Regions from separate parts of the Mus musculus genome. Here all the other regions are reported to be linked to region 3. Evidence: microRNA targets listed by miRTarBase, many of them from high-throughput screens and not tested one by one. Region 3 holds a microRNA gene; each other region holds the end of a gene's coding sequence.
The links. The annotated mature microRNA mmu-miR-1897-5p reads CUUUGGAUGGAGAAAGAGGGGG and lies in region 3 at 2,636-2,657, shown strand. An mRNA with a match to its seed (bases 2 to 7 or 8) in the 3' UTR can be bound and repressed. Matches are read on the target gene's strand: a 7mer-m8 pairs with bases 2 to 8, a 7mer-A1 pairs with bases 2 to 7 and ends in A, and an 8mer does both.

Region 1 (4,117 bases), not on the chromosome of region 3:
ATCAGATGTTGTAGCTCACCTGGTTGAGGCCAGCCTGGTTTACACTACAAATTCCAGGCCAACCAGGGCTCTGTCATGAGATTCTGCCCCCCCCCCCCAAAAAAAAAGAAATAATGATGATAAAGTAAATATCAAGTTTAAAAATTGGGTTGGGCATCATGCTGGTATCAATCTTTAATACCAGCACTCAAGAGGAGGTAGAGGCAGATGGTTTCCTGTGAGTTTTGAGGCCAGCCTAATCTATTATCAAGTTCCAGGTCAGCATATTCTTCCAAAAAAAATTTTAAATAAATACAAATTTCTGTTATCATTATGGTAAACTCAGCATCAGTAATTCAGTTTCGTTGTCACAAGAATAAACCGTCTAATTCTGGGGTAACTTTCTGTCCGTGGTTTGTGCTCGTACCCTCACCCAGACATGTAGAGCCAAGTGTCTGTGAAGCCGCTGACATGTCGAGCCCTGTGCCTGTACATGTACAGCTCCTGCTGCTGCTTCATGCCCCCTTCCTCTCTCACAGGTACACAATAAAAGGCATCAGGAACCTGATATTCTATGAACTGCCAACGTACCCTCACTTCTACAGTGAGGTCTGTAACATGCTGAGAGCCACCAGCAGAGGAGAGGAGGCCACGTGGACGTGCACCGTGCTGTATTCCAAGTATGATGCCCAGAGGCTGGCGGCTGTGGTTGGTGTGGAGCGGGCGGCACAGATGCTGCAGTCTCCAAAGAATGTCCACCTCTTCGTCACCGGAGAAAAATGAGTGTGGAGGGGAACGGACTACATTGTTGGACCTCATAGACCTGATCTGTTCACTGCCCCAGGAACGGGCTCCAGGCAGTCTGCAGTCCTGTGTCACTGGAAAGTGCAGTGTGCAGTGCAGAGTGACCAGTGTGGGTCACCACAGCTGTCAGGGCCAAGAGCAGTCAGAGGCCTGCTACTCTCAGAAACTGACGCTTGTGCTTGCCACACTTTGTAAGCTATGACTTCTCCATTAAGATTTTACTTTTTTAATTTAATTTTTATTTTATGCGTATTGGTGCTTTGCCTGCGTTTATGTCTGTGTGAGAGTTTTGGATCCCCTAAAACGAGTTGCAAGCAGGTGTGAGTTATCATGTAAGTGCTGGGAATTGCGCCCAGGTACTCTGAAAGAGTAGTGTGCTAACCTATTGAGTCATCCATCGCACCAGCCCCTTGGCTTCAATTTTTACTTGGGGAAGATTCTCTGACTTGCCTGTCTATTTTTCTTAAAGCATTTGCTGTTATTGCCCATGGGCCTGGCTGAGAGCAGGAGGTGTCCCGGGCTATGTCCCAGTCTTGGCACTTTACTTTTCTAGCCAAACTTCCAAAAAAAAAAAAAAATGTACTCCAACCTAGAAGAGTACGTTTATTCACTATCATTTTAGATTCTTCCTAGTGTTTTAGTAGCTAAGACATACATTTACCAGTCATGTATAAAGCAGCATTTATTTCTACAGTTCAAGTAACACCATTTGGGACCCAAGGTTGATTCTGTCCTCAGCACCAAGTTGGTTTTTGAATTGTGTAACAGGTGAAAATGAAAAGAAAAATCAATACTTTTAAAATTAAGAAGCATTATTTTAAACTCTATTATAAAAACAACACTATTGCAAATAAGAACCATCACAGGTGACCCTCGCTTCAACTCAACAGAAGGCAGCTTCAGACGACAGGAAGGTGCAGGCCTGAGCCTCAGCTGCTGCAGAGTTGACTGCCAACCTCACGGGTGTTTGGCTTTGGTCTAGACAGTGAGAGGACACGGGCAGGACTGTAGGCTCCCATCACACGTGCAGTGCCCTCTACTCTGTCTTGACCTTGGCACTGAGGCCAGGAAGTCTGTCAGATGTTCCTTAGGTGGGGCTGTGACCTCACTGGGCCCCGTTAGGCCACTTGGCTTGCATTGCGTCGCTGTCTCCTGACCGACTGCCTGTCTGAGACAGGGTTTGACTAACTTCCACTCTAAAGTGAAAATTCAACTTCTACTTTATTCTCCTTAGTTTTTTTCTCTTTCTTCTTTTGTTCGTTTTGTTGTTGTTTTGTTTTTAAAGATAAGAGTGTTCACCACAGGCTGGCCTGGAACTCATGGCAGTCTCCCTGCTCTTGGAGTGCTGGAAACACGGGCTTGAAGCCACCATGCCTGGCCGTGCTTTATGTTTAATTTATACACATGGCTTCACCTTTTGTTAAGTGGGTTACAATACTGCCATCATTATTTTTTCAGGAACTAACCTACTCTCAGATGTGACAGTGGGATCACCGTCAGCTGGATCGCATGCACACTTTTACGTGTGAATAGTTGTATTTCCTGACCAGTCTCTAGCCCTGACTAGTGAGGACAGCTCTGTATTCCTGGTCCTGTCTTCAACCCGCCCTTCCATTTCTGACCTTGACCTTGAATTCTTAATCTTTTCCTACACCTCCCAAGAGCTATCGCATTTTACAAAATTAATTGATTAATCGTTTCACTTTACATCCTGACCGCAGTTTCCCCACCCTCGCCCTCTCCCCTACCTCCCGCATCCCCTCTCCCAACTTCTATGTTGGTAGTTCTCAGTATCTCCTTTGCAGCCCACAGTGTGTGGAGTGATCCCAGTCTTAGATAGGGAGGCACTTACCCAGAAAGTGAGACTTTCAGACTCTGCACAGTGGTCACAGCTACCCAGCTCTTTTCTTTTTGTGCAAAAGGCATTGACTCGAGACAGCTGTCACAGCTGGCTACACCATGTACAGTGTTCGATATAACAAGATAATCACAGCGCCTGAGGCAGAGGCTTCAGCCCTCTGCAGGCTTCCAAAGGGCTTATGATCGAGTGCAGGTGGCCTAGGCAAGATGGGGGGGCATCCTTACTCACACCTCAGAGGACTGGGGGGGGGGGCTCTAAAGCTTTTATTCCCTAATTGCACCCTTTGTGGGGGACAAGAAGATGCTGAGGGCAAGGGAGAGTCAGGGAAGTCTGGCTGCCTTTTGCTGGACCTTTCTGGAATCTCTTCAGACAGCCAGGTTTAGATTTGTTGAGCCTATGGTCTCCAGATGACAAAAGGCCTGGGGAAAGAAAGCAGGGGAAGTTCTCTACACCCGCCTGAAAAGCCATGATGTATAAAGTCTAGGTGGCTGTGAGGTCCCAGAGGCTTCCATAAAGAATGCTGTGGAAGCCATACTGTTCAGGGTGCATCCTCTATGATCTGAGGCCTTCAGCCTTCCTTCCCTTTCCCCCACCCTCTGACCCATTTCCTTGATGCCTTTGGTGTGTGTTTAGTGTAAGTGGCCCTGTACCTCTGACCACAGTGTTCTTATTCCTGTGGGGCTTGGGATCATGTAAGAGGACAGAGTTCAGCCTCAGAAGCAGGTGCTCAACTATCCTTGTACTCTGGAGTCAGGACCAGGCTCTGAATGCCAGCATTGTTCTACAGAGATCTGAACCTGGGCTGGTGGGCAGCTCAACCTGGCCGTCCCTTCACTACTGGAGAGAACATCCTGCTAGCCTGCTCTCCCTGAGGCCAACAGGTCAGGGGTGGCCTGACCAAGCCATCGTGATTGTCAGTCTTGGACCTCTGCATTGGGCTGTGGCCATTTGGGCACCATAGCCTCGGCTGGCATGTGGCGGGAAGGCAGGCTGCTCATTTCCAGTGAGCCTCTTTTTCTCCCAGGCAATTATTCTGACTTCCTTCAAGACTTTCTGAAGAGTTATGTGTTACTCAGTCTTTTTAAAGTGGAACCCATGCTCACTCAAAACCAAAACTAACTAACTAAATAAATAAGCCAGGCATGGTGCCTGGGGGCAGGAGGATCCTGACTAGAAAGCGATTGGTCTGCATAGTGAGATCTTGTCTCAAAAGCAACATAAATAAAGCCAACCAAAAAAAATAGTGCAAAACAAAACTGAAACACCTGGGGTGTGTGTGTGTGTGTGTGTGTGTGTGTGCGCGCGCGCGTGCATTCATGTGTGCTCATGCACATGTTGAGACAGGGTCTCATGGTCTAAACTGGTCTTCACAACTCTTAAGGATGACCTTGAACTCACAATCTCCCATCCCTCCCTCCCACTTAGTTTTCGGCAGTGGAAGAGAGAGAAATGTCAGTGTAAGTGGGAGGGATA
Region 2 (4,117 bases), not on the chromosome of region 3:
GGCTTTCTGGGCTCCTCAGAGCTAAGGGGAAGAACCCATCCCTTGGCTCTTCCGGATTTTCTTCCTTCTCAGAAAGGCAGAGTAGGAACGAACAACACAGGATTCTGGAGGGCTGTCTGGATAAAAGGTGACACACACAAGTGCCACCTTGGGAAGCCCAGACAAGCCCAGTCCCACCCACCCCTCACACCAGGCACTGGCAATCTGGGTCCAAATTCAGAGGACATGACAGCCAACAGAGGGCTTTGGTGTGCCAGGTGGGGGCGGAAGTCACTGGGGATGGGATGAGCACCAGCCTAGAGAGCCTAGAATAGCACCCGGTGTGGGGCTCAGCGCCGCCCCAACCAACTCAACCACGGGACTCAGCCACAGCACTGCCAGGGCAGCCGAGCTCACACAGCCAAGGTGGGCACACAAAGCCTGTCTCCAGGCCCGGGGGTCAGACAAGGAGATCTCTTTGCGGGCTGGGCCCTGGCCCGCCAGCTCTGCTGGTAGGATTATATATAGAACGGGGAGACACAGGTGCCAGGCAGAAGCTGGAGGTGCTGGGAATAGAACAGTGCCCTTTGCAGTGACATAGCTACAAGGAAGCCTGCTGCGCATGTGCCAGGCCTTTGGGGCAGATCCCCGACACAAACTGAACCGAGCCGCATGACCCTGTCCCCACTTCACATGCAAGGGATCGAGTTCACGGTTCCACCAAGAAGTAAAGTGCCCCAGTACAGACAAGAGCCCAGTTTCTGGCCATTGACAGTGCTTACAGTTCAGGTCCTGAGGCGTCTGACACTCAGGCTCTAAATAAAGCACTCTTAGTTCTCTGAACTTGCCTCCCTGCCTTGGTGCCCACATGCCCACTGGCCTCCAACACATGTCCTTGCACAGAGCAATTGCTTCAGGACGCATCTGAGGGCAAGGGTGGTAGCATAGTCCAAACTTGTGGGCCTGCTGGGACTGGGCCCTGACACAGCAGTACAAGGGGCAGGTCTGGAAATGGTCATGGTAGAGAGGTGGTGCCATCTCCCTCCAGAGCTTCCCTTAGCTGGCTCTGCAGGAGGCCCTGAAATGCAGCTCCTGGAGCCTGGCTAGAAGACAGGCAGGTATGCACTGCTGCTCTGCCCCGAGGTTTCCTGCCCAGCCTGCAATTTGCTAACTTGTATGAGGCTGAGTGGCTGGTTCTGGTTCAAGGACTGTGAGCTGGAAGAAGCCCAGAGCAGGGCCTTTTCCGGGGCCTCAGAGAAGCATGCCCATGAGTCAGCACTTGGCTCTGCACGGAGCAACAGGCAAGCAGAGGGTAGGGAGGGGGGCAGAGGCTCTGAAAAGCAAACGGACTGGGCTGGCATCTCCAGGTGCCTGTATCCTCTGGTGGCTGTAAGAGCTTTGCCCCTGAATATCATTCCAGTAGCATCCTATCACAACCAGAGATGACAGAAGACTGACAATCACTCCATGATGCTTAAGAATTTATAAACTTCAAAGACACAGCCGAGCCACTATGTAGAGCCTCTGCCCAGGAGTGGCTAAGCCATTACAGGTGCTGAGGGAGGGGGTGTGGGCTGAGAGGTGGACAGAGGGAACTGGCATTTGCCTTCCACCTTGATTGTGTAACAACACTTCATTAAAATAAATCACACGGTGCATCTTTTGTTACACACTATTTTAATACCATATCAAAACACCTTGACTGATAAGCTTTTCTCCTAAGCTTTGAACAGTTTTAAAACATTTTTGTAATTTTTTTTTTTTGGATTTTAATATATAAATACAGAAACCTATCCTGCATGGGCTGATGTCATGTGTGAATGGCTAAAATATTTCCGTGCGCCTGAAAATGGGGGTTGCAGCACACAGTCCTTTAGCTAAGTCTAAATTTCCTCAGGGGGAAAAAAAAATCACAGGGGCCTTGGAAAAATGTCCAGGCATTTTTTTTTTCAGTGTATTTGTGATTATTAAATCCTCTGATGGGATCAGATCCAGGAGGAAAGGCAGGGGAGACTCGGGGCTGGGGGAGGGCAAGTGTCCACGATGGGCTCTTCATCTTCCTCTTTTTTGGCAAGGAAATCAAGGAAATTTAAGGGGAGAAAAGTGCAAAACCAAGCCAGAAAAATGGGACAGAAGAACAAGAAAACAAAAAAAAAACGAATCCCCAAAGGTAGAAAGGTTAGTGATGCAGAGAGCCAACTGGGGCGCTGGGCAGAGGGACTAACGTGTGCCCGCCTGCCCACCTGCCATCAGAGCGCTAGGGTCAGGACATGGCTATGCTTGCTTCTGTCATGAGTGGTTTTTAGCTGGGCAGCAAACAGCAGGCTGTAAACATCACAAGGGAAAACACCAGTCGACACAAGACTTTTTTATAGAATTTTTTGTTGTTTGTAAACACTTTTTAAAGACAGACCCACAACGCCTTTCAAAGGTGAAAAAGAAAATGCCCTTTCCCTCCTGGGTCGAGGGTGAGGGGAAGGATAGAGGTCAATTCATTCTTCTCTCATCCACTGGGTGTCCTCAGGGAGGACCATTTTCTGGAAGTCAGTGCAGAAGGGTGCCCTGTTCTCTCTGGTGTCCCAAGCTCAGCTCTGTCCAGTGTCCGAGGAGCCTCCTCCCAGGAACAGGGGCTGGCTGTCCCTGTGTGGGTCGGAAGAAGTCAGTCCCGCTTCATCTTGCTGAGAGTTGCCGCTCCATCGCACGGTGGCAGCAGCTTGTGTCCCCCTGAGACCAGGCTGGTTGGCTGGGGCATCTGGTTCAGTCCAGGCAGGCCCATTGGAAGCCAAACATCATGCCGGCGGCGGCATTCTGGACCTGCACTCTGGAGCTGGGATCCAGTCCCTCTGCCTCACTCTCCCTCGCTTGGCATCAGGTTTTGAGGTGAGGGTAGAAAGAGCCAATGTCCCTGATTTGCCTGACACCAGCAGCTGTTCTGGGCATTTACTTGGAATAAATAAAATAAACCTAACAAAAGAAAAAACAACAAAGAAGAGAGAGAAGAAAAGGGATCCCCAAGCCTTTGGATGTGGGATCAAGTGGGAAGGGGCTGATGGTTTTCAGTTGGATGGGACAAAAACAAACTAAACAAAACAAAAGAGAGAGAACACCCAACACAGTCCTCAAAGGCACAGGCAGGGTGGGGGCGGGATAGGGGCAGTTAAACAAGGTACCCTGGGGAAGAAATGAAGGTCAGATCCAATGGTTACACAGCACCAGAAGTGCGTGTGTGGGAGGGAGTAGCCTGCTGCTGTGACACTGTGCCTGGGACACAAGGACTGAGTGTGGCCTGGACCTCTCAGGCCGGTGGAAGAACCAGGAGTGGAAAGACCTCAGGCCATGTCTTTGCAGTGGACAATGTCTGTTCCACAGGCCACTACTTAGTGATTCTTCCCTTTCAGAACCGAGTCTCTGAGAGGTGAGGGAGGTGAGGCTGCTGTAGAGCCTGGCTGGGGGCGCCTCTGCTCCAGCCCATGCACCCTGCAGGGGACCTTCTGCCTCTCCTGAGGGGAAGGAGCCTGGTTCTATCTTTGCATGGAGTTCTCATGACTAGGTTACTATCGCTCTTTCATGCTCCCCCAACTCCCAGGAACATCCCCCTACTTCCTGGGGACTGCTCTCTGAGGAGATGGCTTCTGTCTTTCTGCTTCTGCTTTCTCCTTGGTGGGGTGTGTATCAGGCAGGCCAGCTCCTCTCCCCCAGCTCCCAGAAACTTGACTCTTAGCCCAGAGTCTCCCGCCAAGTATGGGCTCACCTTTGAGAGGAGTCGGCAAGCAGGCCCAGCAGGGTCAGTCAGCAGGGTGCTCTGGACAAGATCTGTTCACTTCAAACCATGAGTCTATGCAGCTGGAGTGGGGCATCAAGGGGAAACACATTAGCTGCTAACAACACTGTTCCTGCCAAGGGAGCCTTTCAAGGGGTTCTCAGGAAAGGCTTTCTAAATCTCTCCTGAAACGACCCCAGGGAAACATGATTATGCCCCCAATTCATTGAAGCAGAAAAAGGAAGATGATCAACAACGATATCCTAAGGGTGGGAGGGCAGACGGGAGCTTGAGTCAGTGGTTTGAGAGAGATGCTGCTTCCCAGAGGACCCAAGTCTGGTTCACACCACCTGTCTGCTGCTTCACAGCCATCCCATA
Region 3 (4,117 bases):
GTGCAAAGCCCTTGCATTAACCCTTTTTAGATTTTTGGTGACTTACATTCTTCTCTCTCTCTCTCTCTCTCTCTCTCTCTCTCTCTCTCTCTCTCACACACACACACACACACACACACACACACACACACGAACACAAACAAGCATGTGCCACACCTTCTTGATTGCTTCCAGGAGACAAGGGACAACTAATTTCAAACTTCTTAGGGCTGGGATGGTACAGATCTAATCTCAGCTTCCTCAGTGGAGAGGGGTCATCAGCTTGAGTCTTCTTTCAGTCCATGTAAAAAATGGGGAAACTTTGACCACATCCTTGTAAATCTAAATAGTGGAAACATAGGGAGAGAGGTACAATGGTCACTCTGGTCTTTCCAGAATCAGTTGCTATGACAACGTGGGCATTCAAGTCACACTTGCCTTCCTCATCCCCACAGTTCTTGGAAGTGTTCCTACTGATTGTATGGTGCCACACACACTCCCACAGTGCCCCAAATAGAAAATACCCACACATTCCATAGGCAATCATAAAGATCCCTCCCTCCCTGCACACACACTCATACGGGCTCAAGGTCTTTTCTTGTTGGCAGCAATGGGGATTAAGCCTATGACCTCATGCATGCTAGGATTGAGCTTTACAGCACCAAATGGGGCTCACTTTTTTCAACCAGTCTTAAGAAATGCTTAACTTCACCTTTAATCCCAGCACTGGGGAGGCAGAGACAGGAGGATCTCTGAGTTCAAGGTCAGCCTGGTCAACAGAGTTTGCTCCAGGACAACCAGGGCCACTGGGAAACCTTTTACTTTGTACCAAAAATACAGAGAGAGAGAGAGAGAGAGAGAGAGAGAGAGAGAGAGAGAGAGAGAGAGAGAGAGAGAAATGCTTAACTTTTTAAAGTTGTGCCACAATTTTTATTCTTTTCAGACTTCTATTAGGTTGCTTATCTCAACAATTTATACGATAAATAATTTAAGCCAGGCATGATGGTGCACCCTTTAATCTCGGCAGTCTGGAGGCAGAGGCAACGAGGCCAGCCTGGTGTAGTGAGTCCCAGGCCAACTGGGGCTGCCTTGTGAGACCCTGTCTCAAATAATTTAGAAATTAAATTATTAAGAAATAAGCCCTAAAATGATTTTGCTGCCAAGGTTTTGTTACACCACTGACGGCATAAGTCAGGAGAGTATAGTCTGTGGCTCTGGGCTCTTGCAGGCCTAAAGAGCAGCCTGTTCTCCATGTAGCCAGAAAGGTCCGCCCCAAACTCACCACTTCCCTGCAGTGTCTCCTGTCCCATTGTGGGGGCGCTGCTCAAGGTTCATTCGGACCCTCTTTGAGTTTTCATGTTTGGGTTTCCTAAGTGAGAGGAAGCAACTGAAAGAAAGGGAGCAGATGGCTGGAAGAGCCACCCTGAGAGTGGGGCACTGCGGCTGGAGGTGGGCCATCAGTCCGATCCCAGGACCCTTCAAAGTCACAAGTAGCTAGGAATGAATCAAAGAGAGCTAAGAGTAGGATTCACTGGGTGTTAGAGACCTTTAACTGCTTCCTCTCAGCCTAGGCTCCCAGCCTAGGATTTTTAGATTAGCAGAGAGGAAGGCCAGCTTGGAGTGGGGGGGTGGGGGGGGGGAAGTGGAGGGGAGCCATGCCTCCCCTCCTGTGCACATGGAAGAGGCACATCTCAAGATGGAAGAAGCCCTTGTTGAGATACGTGTGGCTGATTCATCTGGTAGCATGGTCCGCCAGCCTGGGAAGAGGAAAGCCACATTTCCTTAAGTTACTGGAACTGGGATTGCCTGTCTCTTCTCCCCCCAACCGTCCTTTCCCCCAGAGGCAGTTGAAACTGCGTTGCCTTCAAGACTGTAGTGAGCCTGAAGATTTGGGGTTTCATAAGGTTACTGCACTACTGATACAATTGCATGCAGATTTTTAAAGCCTTCCAGAGACAGATGTTTGGGCTGATTAAGAATTGAGGAGGAAGCTTGCAGCTGCACCAAGGAATAATGTATTGGACAAATATTTTAATAAAAAATATGAAGAGATCAGCCCGACCTTCCAAGGTCTTCTGCTTAAAAAAAAAAAAATCTTTATCAACCCCCTATTCTATGGGCTTCAATAAACAGAACCCATTACCTCACGGAATCTTTTGTTGGCCCCATACAAGAGAGAACAAAATGGTTATTCAGGGGAACGCTTTGGATTTTATTGTGAGTAGCCTGCACAAAGAACCGTGTTATTGTATTTAAAAGAACCATCTGTAGCAGAAACAATGGCATCAAATTATCTTTGAATACCCACTGAAAAACATAAAGCTTGTTTTTTTTTTTTTATTCTTCTGTACGGTGGGGGATAGAGCAGTGTTAGGATAACTGACTTTTTTGTTGTTCTCTGGGTGCATTCTTCCCGCTCCCCCTCTCTCTCCCCCTCACCCTCTCTCTCTCCTCTCTCTCTCTCCCTCTCCCTCTCTCTCTCTCTTTTAAAAAATCAGCCATTTGGGGTTTTAAGCCATAAACGATTTTTCTTGTTGCAGGGGATTGCAGAGGCAAAGCTAGACTAGGTCTTGGAGGCTGGTGTAAGGTGGTGCGCGGAAGGCAGGACGCTGATGGGAGAGACTGGTCGAAGAAAAGCCTAAATGGATTCTCCGTGCTTTGGATGGAGAAAGAGGGGGGAAGTGCGAGCTCCTTCAACTCGTTCTGTCCGGTGAGGAGTGATCCAGCTTGGGCTGACGAGAGGCTCCGGAGCCTTCACGTTCAGTGCTTTTTACCTGCCAATCAAACTGCTACAAGACAACACCCTGATCTGGCATGGTCGCGTAAGTAGCTTGCAACCCAACTTTGACATTCAAGGCTAGCTACCTCTCCCCACCCCCCAACACACTCACTCACTTTCTTCTCCTCTCATTCTGCCTCTTTGTGTGTGTGTGTGTGTGTGTGTGTGTGTGTGTGTGTGTCTGTGTGACCTTTAAGAGAGCTGGATACCCACCCTGTGTAGCAGTTATTTAACACAGGCCGATTTAAGTCAGAAGGTGTTAAGTTTGGGAATTAAATGCTAATTAAGATCTCTTTAACAAATGCAGAATTGAAGTGACATTTTATTCTCTTTGGGGCAGATAGTTTTGAGGTCTGAACGTAATCAAGGTGCTGTATGTATGTATGAAAGGGGTGTGTGTGTTTCTTTTTAAGCAAAAACTAAACGTCTGTGAGTCCCTATAGGTAAATCCAATAATGAAAATTTTCGGGTTTCCATCTTAAAACTGTTAAATTCTAGTATTGCTCTCCTACTAAGATCCTTGTGCAGACCGCAGTGACTTAGATGCTGAAGGGCTCACTTCGATCCCTGTTGGGACTGGGGGAGTGGGGGTGTGCTGTAATTGGGGTGAAAGAGAGCTTGAATTTAAAAAAGTGAGACAGGGGACATGACTAACCCTCATTCTTTATGCAACTGGAATAGAGGGAGATAGAAACGCAAGGGGGCAGGATCATCAAGAAATATTACCTGAGAGGGAATACAGAGGCTGACGAGGCTGGGATCTGGGAGGGCTGAGAAAAGCTGGCTAGGGCGCTGGGCTACTCTCTGGCGCCCTCTAATGACAAATCGGACGACATTACCTTCGCCATCCCACGCTCAGCAAAGGTTTTTTTTTTTTTTTTGTAGCTGCTGAAGCTGTGGTTTTTGTTGCGCTTGTTTGGTTGGTTGGTTGGTTGATTTGGTTTGTTTTTGCTTTGCTTTGCTTTGCTCTGCACTTAGTAGAAAAGATAGGTATTTTTCCGTCCAGAAACTTAGTACAGGTGATTTTTGGCGCGCGTATTGCCTCCAAGCTGAGGATGGCTGGCTGTTTGATTCGTGGAGCGAGGCCCTGTGGGGATGAGCAGTGTGGGGGGAGGGGGGCTTCTCAGCCTGAGAAGTGTGGTTGGGAAGGCCAGTCTGAGGATCCTGACACCCGCCCATCATCGCAATTCAAGGAGGCTCCTGAGGACCTCTGTCACCTAGGCGTGCAGTGGCCAGGGGCCTCCCTTTCCTTCTTTCTCCTCCTCTTCGTCGTCGTCGTCCTCCTCCTCCTTCTTTTCCCTCTTTTTTTTATTTAAAATTTTGGTAGATAAAGGTTAATCTTGGGCTGAATGATAAAGC
Region 4 (4,117 bases), not on the chromosome of region 3:
TCCTGAGAACTGAGAATAGGGTATGTGGGCAGGTTGGAGCCCACAGGCTTCAGAGAGGGAAGGGTGTCTGTGGGTCCATACTAGGCTACTTGGGCCTCACTTTCTCCATCTGTGAAATGGGGCCATTGCCCTTCCATCCTCTAGCCATGGTGTTCATCAAACAAAGGGGGAACAATACACAAGTTTTGAATGTGGGGGCTTCCCAGGTGTTCCCCAGGAATCCTCCTGGCTTCAGGAATATAGACAGTGCCCTAGCTTCAGCCTGCCTAGGCAGGGCTTCAGTTCATGAGTCTTATTCCTGGGCAAATGCTTTCCAGACCCTACCTGTGCTGGAGCTGTCCTCTCTCAGAGGCCACCCAAGGCAAAAAGTTATGAGAGATAGACGCTCCTTGTGGGGAAGTTCAGGGTACAGCCTGGGAGGAGGAACCTAGAGAGTAGCAGTACCTTTCTAGTCTCTGGCAGCTCTCACTGGATTTAGGGGTGGCTTGGGGAGTTTCCTCAAGCCTTGCTCTTAGCAAAGCCTGCCTCGCAGGTCAAGGCCCTGGCCACCGGCCTCTGGCTAAACAAGGACCCCCTCCATCTCCGCCCGCCTCTCCAGGACTGCCTCCGTGCCTGCCAGGAACAGATTGAAGCCCTTCTGGAGTCAAGCCTGCGCCAGGCCCAGCAGAACGTCGACCCCAAGGCCACTGAGGAGGAGGGGGAAGTGGAGGAAGAGGCTGGTCTGGCCTGCACGCCCACCGACGTGCGAGATGTGGACATCTGAGGGCCACCGGGCAGGCGGGAGCCACCAAGTAGTGGCACCCGCAAAGAGGAAGGAGCCAGCCCGGGTGCTCCTGACGACGTCCCCCTTGGGGACATGTTGTTACCAGAAGAGGAAGTTTTGTTCTCTTTGTTGGTTGTTTTTCCTTAATCTTTCTCCTTTCTATCTGATTTAAGCAAAAGAGAAAAAAATATCTGAAAGCTGTCTTAAAGAGAGAGAGAGAGAGATAGAATCTGCATCACCCTGAGAGTAGGGAGCCAGGGGGTGCTACAAAAATAGAATTCTGTACCCCAGTAATCAACTAGTTTTCTATTAATGTGCTTGTCTGTTCTAAGAGTAGGATTAACACAGGGGAAGTCTTGAGAAGGAGTTTTGATTCTTTTATATGTTTTTAAAAAAAAGCTTAAGAAACATTGCTTTAAAAAGGAAGGAAAAAAAATACAGCAAACCATTGTTAAAGTAGAAGAGTTTTTAGGTTGAGAAATGTACTCTGCTTTGCTGAAAAGCCACAGCTTAGGCCCTCAGCCTCACTCCCTGGCTTGCTCAGTGCCTACAGCCCTGTTACCTGATACCTGTGCTTTATCCCAGGGGTGGGCAGACCTCTTAACCTTATAGATGGTCAGTGCGACCTCTAGTGGTCTCATGGCGTGTGGCACAACCCCCCTCCCCAGGGCTCAGCTTAATGTGCCCTCTCCCCCCAACAACCTGCAGGTTCACAGCACCAGCCACACAGCGGTAGGGATGAAATAGTGACATAATATATTCTATTTTTGTAACCTTCCTATTTTGTAGCTCTGTTTAGAGAGATGCTGGTTTTTGCCTGAAGGCCCTGCAGCCTGCCCACATCAGGTTAAACCCACAGCTTTTGTGTGTGGTTTGTTTTGTTGTGTTTTCTTTCTCTATGTTCCAAAACCATTCCATTTCAAAGCACTTTTGGTCAGCTAGCTGGAGGCAGTGTTGCTGGTGTGTGTTGGGGGGAGGGGTTCTAATGGAATGGATGGGGATGTCCACACACGCATTCAGATGGCTGTACAACAGGTTGTAGGGCTGGTAGTATGAGGTGCTTGGGAAGTTTTGTTGGGTCAAGAAGAGAGAACTCTGTTCTCGCACCACCGGGATCTGTCCTGCAAAGTTGAAGGGATCCTTTGGTGCCAGCTGGTGTTTGGAAGTAGGAACCATGATGGCATTACCTGGACAAGGAGATTGGGGACAACTCTTAAGTCTCACACAGGAGGCTTTTAAACACTAAAATGTCTAATTTATACTTAAGGCTACAGAAGAGTATTTATGGGAAAGGCTGCCCATGACCAGTGTGACTCAAAGCAATGTGATCTCCCTTGATTCAAACGCACACCTCTGCCCTGCTGGAGAAGGTTTAGGGCCATGTCTGAGAGATTGGTCTTTCATTGGGCAACGGGGGGGGGGGGGGGGTCCTTAAAAAAAAAAAACCACAAAGACAGAGATTTGGTCTGCTTGACTTTCCCAACCCAATTGGCCCCATTGGAGAGCCATCCAAACTGAGGAAAATTAGGGGACTCCAAAAGAGTTTGATTCTGGCACATTCTTGCCGCTGCCCCCAAGTTAACAACAGTAGGTAATTTGCACACCTCTGGCTCTGTGCCTTTCTATTAGGACTTTTTGGCAGAAGGTGGAGAGCGGGAGGCTTAAGAGGGGATGTGAGGGAAGAGGTGAAGGTGGGACCACATGGGACAGGCCACGGCTCCTCTCATGGCGCTGCTACCGATGACTCCCAGGATCCCAGACGTTCAGAACCAGATTCTCATTGCTTTGTATCTTTCACGTTGTTTTCGCTGCTATTGGAGGGTCAGTTTTGTTTTGTTTTGTTTTACAATGTCAGACTGCCATGTTCAAGTTTTAATTTCCTCATAGAGTGTATTTACAGATGCCCTTTTTTGTACTTTTTTTTTTAATTGTGATCTATTTTGGCTTAATGTGATTACCGCTGTATTCCAAAAAAAAAAAAAAAACAGGTTCCTGTTCACAATACCTCATGTATCATCTAGCCATGCACGAGCCTGGCAGGCAGGTGGGCGGTCTGCCTCCAGGGATCCTGGGACCCTGATGGCGATCGTCCTGTCATGCTGGGCCCTTCATTTGATCTGGGACATAGCATCACAGCAGTCAGGGCACCTGGATTGTTCTGTTATCGATATTGTTTCTTGTAGCGGCCTGTTGTGCATGCCACCATGCTGCTGGCCCGGGGGGATTTGCTCTGAGTCTCCGGTGCATCATTTAATCTGTTAGGTTCTAGTGTTCCGTCTTGTTTTGTGTTAATTACAGCATTGTGCTAATGTAAAGACTCTGCCTTTGCGAAGCCAGCTGCAGTGCTGTAGGCCCCCAAGTTCCCTAGCAAGCTGCCAAACCAAAACGGGCACCACCAGCTCAGCTGAGGCATCCCAGCCAGGCAGGACCCTTGAGGGCCGCTGTATCCATGGTGATGGGGTGAGGTTTTGGCCAAAAGGCCAAAGACTGGTGGTGGGTCCACGGAATCTGCCCTGTGACATGAAAGGCTTTGAGGGGCTCTGGCTGGTGGCCAGGTTGGCTTTTTGTATTTCTGGTTGACACACCATGGCGCTTCCCAGCACAGACATGTGACCAGCATGGTCCAGGAAAAAAAAAAAGACAAAAAATCTAGAAAATAAAATTGGTAAAATCTCAGCTCACTGTTGTCTGTGTTTTCTGGGAACAGGAGTGGGGTGATGCCACAGCCATGTGGGGTGGCATCTCTGGCCCTGGCACCAACCTGGGATTCCCAAGGGGAAGGGTGTATGCAAGTGACAGCCAAGAGCAAAGTGGGAGCCTCTGGCGTCAGGGAGGCCAGCGACAGCCACTGATCAGAAGCGGCTCTGGGTCCATCACTGCCAGCTCACCCTCCTGCTTATTTGCAGATGGAAGATCAACAGAACCCGCGTTCACTGCCCCTTGTCTGGCGCAAATGGGTGTTTGCTCTGGGTGAATCACCGTTTCTTAGGTGCTGCCAAGCGCCCAGAGAGCCATGCTTAGTGTTAGGGCCAAGACCCAAGGTGGCCTTTCACATAGTTCTGCAGACCTGAGTGGCCTGGCAAGACTCCTGTGATGTCTTCGGGGTGGCAGTTACTCATGACTAGTATTGTTTCCAAACCCTGTGGGGACAGGTGGCTTTTAGACATCATCTTCTACAAGGTAGCTTTTGGGTCTCAGCTTGGCTGTTTTGGTGCCTGGTGGGCCCCTGCCCTTCTGGAAAGTGGAGGGTGTAGATGACACCTGGTCTGAGTGGTGCCACCCAATGATGAAAGCAGAAAGAGATGGACGGAGAGAAGCCCACAGTGACCTTGCCAGGCGACCTACTCAATGAGA
Region 5 (4,117 bases), not on the chromosome of region 3:
TCATCTCAGGTACGATCCCCGCTTCAACACCTGGATTCACTTGGGCAGCATGAACCAGAAGCGCACGCACTTCAGCCTGAGCGTGTTCAACGGGCTGCTGTACGCGGTGGGCGGCCGTAACTCCGAGGGCAGCCTGGCTTCGCTGGAGTGCTACGTGCCCTCCACCAACCAATGGCAGCCCAAAGCGCCGCTCGAGGTGGCGCGCTGCTGCCACGCCAGCGCCGTGGCCGACGGCCGCGTGATCGTGACCGGCGGCTACATCGGCAGTGCGTACTCGCGCTCCGTGTGCGCCTACGACCCCGCGCTCGACGCGTGGCAGGAGCTGCCCCAGCTGAGCACGCCCCGAGGCTGGCACTGCGCGGTGGCGCTGGGCGACAGGCTGTACGTGATGGGGGGCAGCCAGCTGGGGCCGCGCGGGGAGCGCGTGGACGTGCTCACGGTGGAGAGCTTCAGTCCCGCAGCGCGCCAGTGGAGCTTCGTGGCGCCGCTGCCCGTGGGCGTGAGCACGGCGGGTGTCTCGGCGCTGCACGGGCGAGCCTACCTGCTGGGCGGCTGGAACGAGGGCGAGAAGAAGTACAAGAAATGCATCCAGTGCTTCAACCCCGAGCTCAACGAGTGGACGGAGGACGACGAGCTGCCCGAGGCCACCGTGGGCGTGTCCTGCTGCACGCTGGCCATGCCCAACAGCGTGTCCCGAGAGTCACGGGCCAGCTCGGTGTCCTCCGTGCCGGTCAGTATCTGAACGCATTGCTTCCCAATGTGGTCAAACTGTGAGTGGGCCACCAGGAAAATATACACCATTTACTACAGTGACGGTGGTTCAAATCGATCCAGAGGAGTGCCTGGACCGCTTTAAATTCTTAGTTTAGCACCATCTACCTCAGTCTTTCCCTCCAAAAAAAAAAAAATAATAAAGGGCTGTAGCCAACAAAAGAAGCAATTTCATTATGCAGCCACTGGGTGGCCACTAGAGTTTGTTACAGGCACTCTTGCAAGGAGGCTCGCTTCCTAAATTCATAGCAGTTACACACACGCTGAGATTTTCCCACGGTGTACACGTGAAACCTACTCGTCTATACAATTTCCTATCCAAAGGAGTATTTTCCTCTCTGTTTCTTTGAAGGAAGTTGAAAATACCCACTTCACATTTGCAAATGAAAATAGTCTACATCTATAAAGATTTAATTCTATATTTCAACAGAAAATTATTCTTTGTCCCTACTTGACTGGAAAGAACTTTTAAAAAGATCTCATGACATAGCCACAAAGCTTTTAACAGGATGTGGCTGGAAAGCTATACATTCTACCTAGGAAACGACAAGGTGGCAGTTTGGGGTTAACGGTGTATACCCCCTCATTCTGTCCTTGAAGCTTCTGCCATTTTCTAACATAAAATCCTACTCTCAGAAAAGGAACAGTTTCCTGTCATTTAATTTATAGTGTAAATTCAAATCATTTGGCATTTTTCTTAGAAATATTTCCACTTGTATCTCTAATCCTTATATGGACAGAGTTGTTTTTTTTTTCTTTTTTTTTTTTTTTTTTTTTTTTCCTTTTTTCTGGATGGGCCTGGTACACACTAGTACTCTACCCGGGAGCTAACTACATATCCAGTCTTCGCTTTATTTTAATATTTGAGACATGGTTTCATTAAGTAGACCAGGCTAGCCTCAAACTCCCAGTGCCTCCTGAGTGATGGGATTAAAGGTGTGTGCCACCACTCACAGCCCTCTTTCTTATTTTAAAGTAGGATTTTACTAGGTTGCCAGGCTGCTCCTCCTGCTTCAGCATCCCCAGTAGGCTGGAATTACAGGCGTGTACCATCGGGTACAGCTTTATCTTACTCAGGTATGGTCAAATTGCCTCTAACATTAGCCCGAATAATCACCAAATCACACTATGTTCTTGGATGAATATCATTAACTGCAGCTTAGCCTTTGGCTGTACAGCCAATAGCAGTAATTTTACTGACCCCTCGTTCACGTGGAGATGATGAAGGAAATATTTGGGGTTCTCGGACTTGGCAATTACCAGATGAATAGATGGGTTCCTCACTGAGGAGTGCTGATAGCTAACTTAAAATATTAACCCCCAAAATAATGCTCTTTATGATTTACTTTTGTTAATACCACTTTGCAAATCAAACTGTATCTATTTGGTTGGTTGGTTGGATCTTTTCTTTTCTTTTCTCTTCTTTTCTTTTCTTTCCTTTTCTTTTCTTTTCTTTTCTCTTCTTTCTTTTTCTTTTTTCCTTTTTCTTTTCTTTTCTTTTTTTTTTTAGACAGGGTCTCACTATGTAGCTCTGGCTGCCCTAGAACTCATTTAGGTAGACCAAGCTGGTCTCAGACTCAGTAAGATCTGTCTCTGCCTCCCGAGTGCTGAAATTAAAGGCTTATGTCATCCTGCCTTGCAACGTGTATTTTCCTGCTACCATTTCCTTGAGTTATCTGCCAAGTTTGGAAGAAAGGGGAAGAACTGTAGTAAATGATGGATATTTTCCTTTAATATATCAGTTTATCTTCATAGTATATTTGTTTGGGGAAGGAAATGCCTATCATCCATGCCTTCTGTACAACTAGAGAATTTGGAGGGATGGAGAGGCATCTGGAACTGTATCTTGGTTATTACCAATCCCAGCCTTTCCTATTACATGTGTGTTGTAGCTGTCATGGTCATGTCTAAAGCCCAGTCCCCTTGTCTGTGGGTTAACACATCTGTAGGTGCAGCTAGACCCAAGATGAAGATATTTGAAAAAAAAATTGCATAGCAAACATGTACCAAATATTTTCTCCCCCCCCCCAGCAATACAGCACAACAGTTTGCATAGCAATTGCATTGTATTAGATATTATAATACCCTAGAAACAATATAACTTATAGAAGAAGATGTGAGCAGGGTGTATGTAAATAGTACATGCCACTTTGTAGATGGGACGTGAGTGTCACAGACACTGTATCCCAGCAGGGGATGGGGCATGTCCTGGTTCCAGTCTCCCAAGGACACTGAGGGATGGCTACATCTTATTCCAACTGTGAAAAGTGGTTCAAATAAAACATTCTTGAGATAACCTTCCTCATCACCCCTTACAAAAAGTTCTGTTTGGGGTATTCAACAGTGATGCTCAGGAACAGAGGAACAGACTATAAACACTGTAAATAAGTAAGACACCATTAGCACAAAGATACAGAGAGAAAGAGGAGTTCCATCAATTGCAGGGAAAACCTAAAGACACCTGCTCTTTTGCCTCCATGACTGTGCAGGCTGGAAAACAAAACTCTGAGCAAATATTTTGGGGATCATTTGGCCACGACTTGCTAGGGCAGCCATCACATCTTATCAGGGCAGTATAGACACACCTCTGCAATTTATGCCTACAGTATATGGGTAATTTTGAGAGAGAAAAGGGTGCTTCATTGGGGGCTACAAATAATTGAATAGACTGATGTAATTCATTTATGTGCACTAATAGCTGTGCCTCAATAGAGAATGTAGAGGTGTGTGAAAAGAAGGACCTAGGGCTGTGAATGAAATAAAAGTCAACTCGTTGTAACATTTTAGGATTTAAAACATGCGGAGAGAGACAGAAAATAGAGGGACCTCAGTTGGAGCTGGTAAGGTAGGATGTAAAGCCCACGAGGTTGCTTTCCAGAGGCAAAGCACAGCCCGATTACAGCCCCTGGGTAAATTGCAATCACTTATGTTCTGTGTTGTTAATCTGAAGACTCAGAAAATATACACAGCTGGGCTTACCACGTCTTGGTGCACTGAGGTTGATAGGATATGGTCCATGAAAGCTAGTGAATTTTTGAGCCCCAGAATAGCCTGCACTGCCATTAAGGACAAAAATGCAAGAAGATGCAATACGTTCTGTACCCTTCAAAGTCTTTAATCCATTTCCAAGTTGCTGCTCCTGGGAAGCAGAGTCCGCTTTGCAACTGCAAACTTTACATGCTTGTACTGTGGTTCCTGCTTACCCCTATTCAGTTACAGCCACAAGGTAGGACCCAAACATGTACTTGTGTTTATTTTTCTCAAAGAAAATGTCTTGTGATTTTTGTTAATGCCTGAGTTCCGTGATTAAATAAATGTACCAGCTCAGCTTATCAGAAAATACCAT

Region 1: the mRNA of Utp25 is a reported target of mmu-miR-1897-5p. Seed matches in the 3' UTR shown: 7mer-A1 at 1,344-1,350.
Region 2: miRTarBase lists Znrf1 as a target of mmu-miR-1897-5p. Seed matches in the 3' UTR shown: 7mer-m8 at 2,998-3,004 and 8mer at 1,740-1,747.
Region 4: the mRNA of Ccnd1 is a reported target of mmu-miR-1897-5p. Seed matches in the 3' UTR shown: 7mer-A1 at 1,666-1,672, 7mer-m8 at 2,271-2,277, 7mer-A1 at 2,297-2,303 and 7mer-A1 at 2,730-2,736.
Region 5: the mRNA of Klhl31 is a reported target of mmu-miR-1897-5p. Seed matches in the 3' UTR shown: 7mer-A1 at 893-899 and 7mer-m8 at 1,088-1,094.

The regions. Positions count from the first base shown.
Region 1 is chr1:193,104,188-193,108,304 of GRCm38, reverse strand. Utp25 (UTP25 small subunit processome component) reads left to right here. Exons shown (of 12, transcript NM_145415.2): 12 at 519-3,902. The coding sequence ends at 762. Among named protein-coding and RNA genes, the nearest start is that of Gm31406, 11 kb to the right of the region's middle.
Region 2 is chr8:111,621,301-111,625,417 of GRCm38, reverse strand. It overlaps Znrf1 (zinc and ring finger 1), which reads right to left. Exons shown (of 4, transcript NM_133206.4): 4 at 1-3,822. The coding sequence ends at 3,765. Among named protein-coding and RNA genes, the nearest start is that of Ldhd, 7.0 kb to the left of the region's middle.
Region 3 is chr3:34,635,839-34,639,955 of GRCm38, forward strand. Mir1897 (microRNA 1897) reads left to right here and starts at 2,626; the gene lies at 2,626-2,704. It overlaps Sox2ot (SOX2 overlapping transcript (non-protein coding)), which reads left to right. Exons shown (of 5, transcript NR_015580.2): 3 at 2,520-2,801.
Region 4 is chr7:144,929,253-144,933,369 of GRCm38, reverse strand. Ccnd1 (cyclin D1) reads left to right here. Exons shown (of 5, transcript NM_007631.3): 5 at 599-3,439. The coding sequence ends at 763. It also overlaps a transcript of LTO1 not described here. Among named protein-coding and RNA genes, the nearest start is that of Ccnd1, 8.5 kb to the left of the region's middle.
Region 5 is chr9:77,655,118-77,659,234 of GRCm38, forward strand. It overlaps Klhl31 (kelch-like 31), which reads left to right. Exons shown (of 3, transcript NM_172925.2): 3 at 10-4,117. The coding sequence ends at 742. Among named protein-coding and RNA genes, the nearest start is that of Klhl31, 20 kb to the left of the region's middle.